Linked DNA regions of Ovis aries. The protein of the gene in region 2 interacts with the protein of the main gene of each other region in a pairwise test. Links are inferred from orthologs where the notes say so. Each region holds a gene or a part of one and is shown on either strand. Other genes may lie near its edges.

Region 1 (5,104 bases), about 46 Mb from region 2:
CATTGTTGTTGTTGTTCAGCCACTCAGTCATGTCTGACTCTTTGTGACCCCAAGGACTGCAGCAAGCCAGGCTTCCCTGTCCTTCACCATCTCCCAGAGCTTGCTCAAACTCATGTGCATTGAGTTAGTGATGCCATCCAACCTTCTCATCCTCTGTCATCCCCTTCTTCTCCTGCCTTCAATTTTTCCCCAATTAGGGTCTTTTCTAATGAGTCGGCTTTTCCCATCAGGTGGCCAAAGTATTGGACCTTCAGCTTTAGCATCAGTCTTTCCAATGATATTCAGGACTGATTTCTTTTAGAATTTACTGGTTTGATCTCCCTGCAGGCCAAGGGACTCTCAAGAGTCTTCTCCAACACTACAGTTCAAAAGCATCAATTTTTCAGTGCTCAGTCTTCTTTATGGTCCAAGTCTCACATCCATACATGACCACAGGAAAAAACCATATGGACCTTTATCAGCAAAGTACTGTCTCTGCTTCTTAATACTCTGTCTAGGTTTGTCATAGCTTTACTTCCAAGGAGCAAGCCTCTTTTAATTTCATGGCTGCAGTCACCATCTGCAGTGATTTTGGAGCCCAAGAAAATAGTCTGTCACTGTTTCCATTGCTTCCCCATCTATTTGCCATGAAGTGATTATCTCAACATGATCCTGGCTAAATGTCTGGTGAAATTTCCCTCCCCTATTAGTATTTGGGAGGTATTGGGAAGATCTAATCTGATTCTCAGAGGAGTATATCTTTCCAAAACCAACTGGCTGCCTCAGTGTTTGACTTGCTGGAGCTAGCTCACATTGGCTCTGGTGAACGCGACTGTATTCATCCATTCCCAACTCTGGTGGTTTGGAATCAGCCATAACTGGGAGCATTTACGCCATGGAAATCAGTAACATATTCAACCCAACACACCCCTCCCCCATTTCATTTTTCCTTCCTGGCAAACTGGTTGTTCAACCTTTATCCTTATAACCCTGTCACTCTTAACCACAGATATCCAGCAATCTGACAGCAAAAGAGACACAGAGTATTTCCAGACCAGGCTAGTTTTCCTAGGAATATAGTCCTTTGCCATGACACCAGGAAAACTGAAAACTGGCCCTAGGCATTATATGTGGAAATATCCCAGATTACTAACTCACCTTGAGCAGAGAGATTTTCCGAAACTGGAAAGAACTCTTGTAAATTCCCTTCAGTATCTTCAGAAGAAGCCAGGAATAGTTACTTTCTTAAGAATATTAAATAGAGCAAGAGGAAAAGGTGGAGGAAGGAAAGACACAGTCATCAAGAGAGCCCATTAAAATATTCTCCAAAAATATCCTTAACATTTCATATAAAATCCCAGTGTAGATCATTTGTTTTGTATAAACCAAAGACTAGGCTCACACTATTATGTCAAAGTACCAATGAATGGTAATAGACAAACTGACCCTGAGAAATGTATGGGAAGCAGCTGATTTGGTCAAAGCTTCAGGACCTACTCGCCACATCCCCCAAGGCTACTGCTCTTTGGATTTTCCTGTTTCGGGTCCAAAAACACAGTTATGACTCAAAAACACGGCTGATAGGGGTGGAGAATCATTTTGGAAAACTGATTGGCAGTTTCTAACATTTTAAAATATTTTACTTGAGAGTAATAAAAGTTGTTTGCATACACAAAGCAGCTTTATTCATAGCAGTAGCCCCAAACTAGAAATAATACAAATGTCCAGTAATAGGACATTCACTGTATACTCATACATTGCAAGACTACTCAACATTTACAAGGAACACACTCTAAGACAGCATGTGAGTGTGTGTGTTAGTCGCTCAGTCGTGTCCGACTCTTTGGGACCCCATGGACTGTGACTCGCCAGGCTCCTCTGTCCGTGGGGTTCTCCAGGCAAGAATACTGGAGTGGGTTGCCATTCCCTTCTCTAGGGGATCTTCCCAATCCAGGGATTGAACCTGCATCTCCCACATTGCAGGCAGATTCTTTACCATTTGAGCCACGAGGGAAAGCCCCTACAGCAGCATAAGTGTGTCTTAAAACCAGTAAAGTGAAGTACAAAACAGTACAGATTTTATGATTCTGTTTGCATGAGATTTAGAACAGGGAAATCTAATTTATGCTGATCAGAAGAGCTATTGTCCCTGGCCTCAGGTTGAAGGATGGACTGGGAAAGGGTATAAGAGAATGTTCTGGGGTGATGACAATGTTCTAATTCTGGATTGGAGTGGTGATTACAAAGGAATATATAATTGCCAAAATTGACCCAGCTATACACTTGGACATATTATGAGCCCATGAAATGTAAATCAGACCTCTACTGAAATATGTGGTTGAAAGTGTTAGTCGCTCAGACTGAAGCCTGCCAGGCTCCTTTGTCCATGGAATTCTCCAGGCAAGAATAGAGTGGGTTGCTATTCCCTCCTCCAAGGGATCTTCCCTACCCAGGGATTGAACCTGGGACTCCTCACTGCAGGGAGATTCTTTACCATCTGAGCCGCCAGGGAAGCCCATATCTATGTCTAAAGGTAAATAGATACGCATATGCTTACATTTCTAATCTAATGAAAGGATCTAATGTAATAAGCCCCGCTTCCTTGGGCCCTAGGAGTTTCACACTTTCTACCTGCCAAAGACACAGACTTTGTGCTTTCAAAGTGTGGATTCAGGCCTCGGCGTGATGCTGCAAGCTGGAACCTTGTGCAATCACACCCAGGTCATTTCCCTCAAGCTTGTCGACTTCCCATCTCTGACACAATGCTTCATCTGGGTCATCCCCGAAGAGCCACGGGAGAAAGTTTGGGGCCAGGTTCAGCTTGGCGGGGAATTCCTCTCCCCCGCACACACTTTCCAGCGCAGGGAGGCGGCCGGGTCACAGAGCTCACGGGGCATGAATCAGCCTCCCCTCCAGGCTCCACGAAGGCGCGCTCCGCCCTGTCCCGTCTCTGAGGGCCGCTAACCCTACAAAAGCAGCGGCACCCACCGCGCTGGAATCCAGACCGCTTGGAGGCTGGACGCTGTGCACCCTCCTCCGCTCCTCTCGCCGGCACCGTCTGAATCCGGACACCATGGACTCGGTTCGCCCCCTCTGGCTGATGCTTCTGTCGCTGCTCCTCGTGGGAACTGCGCTGGGTGATGCCCCGCAGGCGCCGCCAGGTACCCCACCAACCCGCGCTCAGGGGACCCCTTTTCGCCCTGGCCAGGCGGCAGGAGTTCCGCGGACCCCTGCACCCGCTCTCTGCGCCCTCCTTCCCCCTAATTCCTGTCGTGCACCGCAAGTTTGCACTTCCTGTCTCTGTAAGGCCCTTCTGCTGGGCTGGGAAGCTGCTGGGACAAACCTCCCCACCCCCACCACCCTGGGGGAAGCCCTCCCTCCACCGAGATGCGGCTGACCTCCTCCTCTGCCTCTGGTTCTCCTACCCCTCCTGTAGGAAATAACGCGGAAATCTGCCTCCTGCCCCTGGACGACGGGCCCTGCCGGGCGCGGATCCCCAGTTACTACTACGACAGGTACACGCAGAGCTGCCGCGAATTCATGTACGGAGGCTGCGAGGGCAATGCCAACAATTTTGAAACTTTGGAGGCCTGCAACGAAGCATGCTGGAAGATTGAGAGTAAGTGCTCGCTCCCACTCCCAGAACTCCAGTACTGCGGCAGAGAAGGGCTAAGTGGGAAATGAGCTTATTTTTCACATCCCATAGTAAGTTTCATCCTTGATTTTCTCGGATCCTGTTTGGCTTATTGCTTTTCAGTTGACTAAAAGTGATCATGAAACTTCCAACGACAAACATTTCCTGTCCCTTAACTGGCATTTATCATAATTCAGTGTGTGTGCAGACTCCGGAAAGATTTCACCTAAGGCTTAAGGATGCAAGAGTGTCATGTATTAGGTGCAACATAAGTGCCTGTCTGTATTTATCATTAGTTCTAAACCTATGGTTTTTATGCCTTCTTGAGAGGGCATTTTCCTCTTGTCCACTGTGTAGCGATCTGAAATACTTTCAGTGGATTTTGTTATTAACGTCTGAATTTAGCTAATTATAACCTTACTTTTATCCCTTGATACCCAAAGAGATCTTGGGTTGGTATAGAGATATAAAAAATAGAGAGATTCACAATGCTGTTTGCAATTTTAATTATGTTTACTGTCTCTGTGAAGGCCTGTAATAGAACACGGGGCTCAGCTGTTAAAGGAACTGAGCCAGGGAAAAATGTGTATTCCTATGAATAAGTTTGATTAATTTCATACATTGAAACAATCAGAACACTCTGAGAGAAGAATCTTTCCAGTAAGCATGAAAAATTTATCACAGCTGTATCGGGTCTGGAGACACTGTTAAAAAAATCAAAAGCTGAATAGAGTTGTCTCTCAGTGTCTGTGGTGACTGGTTCCAAGACCCCAACTCTCTGATGCCAAAATCCACAGCATTTGCATATAACCTGTGCATATTCTCCCTTATACTTTAATTTATCTCTAGACTCCCTACCAGCATAGGACAAATTCAAACTTTGTTTTTTTGTGTGTTTTTTTTAATGAACTTTCAGGAATTATTTTTTCCTGAATATTTTCTCTCTGGGTTGGTTGCATCTGCGGAATGCTGGACCCAAGGATACAAAATCTTGTTGTTGCTGGACTAATGGGCAATCTTTTGGGCGTTTACTAGCCCAGCGCTAAATATCATGCCTCCCACCCCCATCACCACTCTACCCCTGGCCACCACCAGTGGCTTCTGAAAATACAGTTAAGTTTTAAAGGAAGAGTAAGAAGGCTGATTTTTGACTAACATTGTTTTATGCCCTCGTTTTCCTAGAAGTTCCCAAAATTTGCCGGTTAAAAGTGAATAAGAAGCAGTGTGGGGAGCTCAGAGAACAGTATTTCTTCAATCTAAGTTCTATGACCTGTGAAAAGTTCATATCTGGCGGGTGTCACAGCGATGAGAACCGGTTCCCAGATAAAGCTTCGTGTATGGACTTCTGTGCGCCAAAGAGAGGTAAATACTCTCTTTGTGGTGTCTGTACTTCATTTCTTTATTTAGACTTTAGGGTGAAAACATTAATAATTGATACGAAATTAAGCTGGTTTGCATGAATTTGTGAGAGTGCGAGCTAGAAGTTTAATA
Region 2 (3,920 bases):
TTTGCTGATTTTCAATGAAAAGCCTTGTTATGGGTGCCTGCATGGGGCCTTGGCTAGAGCTCATATAATTTACAATTCTAATCAATTTTGGATCACATGGCGGGAGATTAGTCTTGAGATTCTGCACAGGTCATACCATACAACTTCAAGATTAGTCTTGGGGCAATGCCTACATAAGTTGGCATTAATAACTGAAAATGAGAACTTCAGAATGGAGACACAGATGTAGAGAATGGACTCGTAGACACAGTGGGGGAAGGAGAGGGTGGGAAAATGGAAAGAGTAGCACTGACATATTATACTCGATCATGTGTAAAATGGAGAGCTGGTAGGAAGCTGCTATCAGTTTGGTGCTCTGTGATGCACCAGAGGGGTAGGGGGAGGGGAGGGAGGCTCCCGCGAGAGGGGATATATGTATAATTACGGCTGATTTGAATTGCTCTATGGTAGAAACCAACACAATATTGTAAAGCAATTTTCTTTCAATTAAAAAATAAATTAAAAAACAAAACTAGAACTTTCAGACTCCAGTGCTCTTGAGCACCCACGCTGTAAAGAACCCATTGGTAAAGAAATGATAGAATTAGAAAATCACCATTGTGCAAGCCCTAAAGAAATATTCTAGATAATATATACCAATGGACACTAAAATGGTTTGATGGCGAACTTTATAATGGTGCATCAGACTGACAGCACCAGATGCAGTAGACTAAACACACTTTTCAACTAGGGACAATGGAAAACGTACGATATTAAGAAGTTACTGTTAATTTTATAAATGTTATAATGGTACTGTGGTCATGTTTATAAAAAAACGATACTTATCTGTTAGCCATGTACACACTGTAGGGGAAAGTGAAGTTGTCTTGAAGTCCATTTTTAAGGAGTTTCAGTTTAGTAACTTTAGGTGGAAAGCAATACGAATAATATAGTCAGATCTTGATTATTCCAAAATAGTGTCCAACGTGTGCATTATCCAGGACTTTGACCATCTTTCCTCTCTTCTGTGGCTCCTCTGCTGGTCCTACATTTACAGCTGACCCAGTGTGGTACAGAAAGTACTCAGCTGTCAAATTTTGTGACTTGTTGGAAGAAGGAAGTCTGTGGGGAAGAAACTGAAACTACTGGTTGAAATCAGGTGTATAAACAATTTGAACATTTCATTTCTCTTTGATTTACATATCTTCCTTATTATAGATAAATATGAGTTACAATGATTATATAATAAAACTTTAGAGCCCAAATACAAAAAGCCTTCATTTTATTTAGTTTCCACTTTACTTTTGGAAAAAAATCATTTTTTAAAAGTTTATTTTACCAAGGACTAATCCTTTGTTGACATTCAACTTTGAAGTATTCTTTCGTGTCTGTCTATTGGGAGAAAACATGAAACATTGCTTCTGTGGCAGTTTCTTCTAGTTTTTCAAGGACTCATGTAGTAGCAACTGGTTCAAAATACTGCTTTGTTTCAAAGCATGCAGTTTAGATGTATCTTCACTAATGATGGCAATATTTCCATTTTGTTCCTGAGCTGTCAGGTCACTTTCACTGTCAGACAGTGTACACAGCAGAGTGTCATTTTCATAAGTTGGAAAGTAATACCTGAAAACAACCACAAATATACTGAATAACCAAAACTATAGATTATCTAGAAAATTTCTCAGCAGTTGAATGTACACATTACTATAATTTTGCTAAGTTTCTTTGCCAACAGTTTCAACTACATTTTGCAAAGGCTGTAAGGGAGAGAACTTCTGAATTAATTTTACTTTGACCTTTATTGGCTGACATCAGTCTTACTAGTATCTTTGTTAGCTGGCATTTCAGCCTTTGCTTGATATTTAACATAACAAGATACTATCTTAAAAGGCAGCCTACTCTACTATCAGGCAGATCTAGCTATCAATTTAATACCTCCTTGTATGAAGCTAAAAACGACATTCCTCTCATTTCTATTCAAAAGTTTCAGTTCTCCCCTAGGGACAGCAAAGTTCAAATACAGTTACTCTTTCATACACTACTCCTTCAAATATCCAATAAAAACAACTGTTTCCAGGTGTGGGGTTCCCCCCCAATCTAATCATCACTATTCATTATAAATTAAAAAAATTAAAAACATCTATAGCATTTTAAGTCTATTACTCTGGTTCCTTCTCTGGACACACTCTGGAGTTAGTTCTGAAATATAAAGGTTTTGAATTGTATAAGAAGAATTATAGGAACTGGGTCTCAGGTTAGTCCAGGGCTGACTCTGTCTCTCATAAATCTGGAATTTTCTGAAGAGGAAAAACTGGAGCTTTTTGCCTAGACTCCTGGGGGCTCTGATGTAACATCCCCTGAAAACAGAGGAATCTCTCTGGAGCTGGAACCCCACAACCTCCCAAAGGTTCCCTCAACTGAGCTTTTTACAACTGAGATTATCCACAGTTGATTTGAGAACCATCTCAGAAGGTGAGACTGGCAAAGGATACCTGGGAGTCTGAGACCATCTCAACAGGTACATACTAGAAGAACAAATGCTTGATATTTTTAAAAGCGCCAGGATGCAAAAAATGCATCAAAAGCCCTAGTAGTGGTATACTGTATGACACAGTAGTTTTATGTTTAGAAGTTTATCTAAATGAAATAATTATGCAAGTGTGCAAAAATGCAGGCATATGCATCTATTTAGAAGAGCAAAACATACAAATCCTGAACATCTAGCAAATTAGGGTAACATCCATACAATGGAATATTTGGCAACCATTAAAAATGATGCAATAGATGTGTAGTGGATATAGAAGATGCTTTTAAATACTTTCTTAACAAAATATAACTTAAAAATCTATATTTCTGTATCTATCTATAGCTATCCATATCACTACACCATAAAATTTGAAGTAGTTGATTACACCTGTAACAGGGAGATTATTTTAAAATCAAGGTTTTTGAAGATTTTTACTTTTTACAATAGACTTGCATTTATTTTTTATTTAAATTTAAAGGAATTAAATAAATGGATGAGATAATGGAGAAGGAGCAAAGAAATATATGTCTGGTTGAGCAGAACTCACTGTGGTTGATCCCATATCTGTTTTTCAGGAAGCAGTGAAGTATGTTTAGCTTCTTCCATATGAGTCCTTAAGTCTGCTTTGGACCTAAACTTCTCATGGCAGCCATAGCATCTACACTGGTGAATCTGCCTCCGAATGAAATTGACCAATTTCACTTGCTGATAGAAATTTAATCCTGAAAATGATAGTATAAAGAATCATCAGACAACCGGTCAGACCCACTTTTGCACCGCTGCAATTTTTTGTTTAAGAACCACTTCTCTTTATTAACCAACCTGAAGAGGCAGTGCGGATTTAAAGCATAATAATAGGCAGAAAATAATAACAGCCAGTACTTATATAGTGCTTATGTACCAGGCACTGCTCTAATCACTTTTCATGCATTAATACGTTTAATTTCCACAATACCCTACCACATAGGTGTTACCGTATCCACATTATACATCAGGAAGCTGTCCAAGGCTGCAAGGCCAGTAAGTGGTAGAGCCAGGATTTGACACCAGGCTGTTGGCTCCACAGCCATGTTCTTGACTACTAACCTATTACATACACAACACATATACATGTGTATAAGAGCAATAAAGTAAAGCAACGCAAGGCAATGGCAACCCACTCCAGTATTCTTGCCTGGAAAATCCCATGGAAGGAGAAGCCTGGTAGGCTGCAGTCCATGGGGTCGCTAAGAGTTGGGCACGACTGAGCGACTTCACTTTCACTTTTCATTTTCATGCACTGGAGAAGGAAATGGCAACCCACTCCAGTGTTCTTGCCTGGAGAATCCCAGGGACAGAGGAGCCTAGTGGGCTGCCATCTATGGGGTCGCATAGAGTTGGACATGACTGAAGCGACTTAGCAGCAGCAGCAGCA

Evidence for each region. The genes of interacting proteins can lie anywhere in the genome.
Region 1: the proteins of ZNF277 (region 2) and GNGT1 interact in a two-hybrid assay, tested with the Homo sapiens proteins (3 studies listed by BioGRID and IntAct). The two-hybrid records come from large-scale screens. The link is inferred for Ovis aries from reciprocal best matches to the Homo sapiens genes ZNF277 and GNGT1.

The regions. Positions count from the first base shown.
Region 1 is NC_056057.1:11,982,182-11,987,285, reverse strand, and holds the start of GNGT1 (guanine nucleotide-binding protein G(T) subunit gamma-T1), read right to left. Parts: upstream 3,416-5,104; 5' UTR 3,378-3,415; intron 3,141-3,377; coding exon of another isoform or gene 3,053-3,140; exon of another isoform or gene 2,975-3,052; intron 1-2,974. Other genes in the region: TFPI2 (tissue factor pathway inhibitor 2), read left to right, coding at 3,053-3,140, 3,416-3,598, 4,796-4,975. UniProt on the Homo sapiens protein: Guanine nucleotide-binding proteins (G proteins) are involved as a modulator or transducer in various transmembrane signaling systems.
Region 2 is NC_056057.1:57,592,069-57,595,988, forward strand, and holds the end of ZNF277 (zinc finger protein 277), read right to left. Parts: intron 3,229-3,920; coding exon 3,054-3,228; intron 1,603-3,053; coding exon 1,416-1,602; 3' UTR 1,245-1,415; downstream 1-1,244. UniProt on the Homo sapiens protein: Probable transcription factor. Involved in modulation of cellular senescence; represses transcription of the tumor suppressor gene INK4A/ARF, perhaps acting via the Polycomb group (PcG) complex PRC1.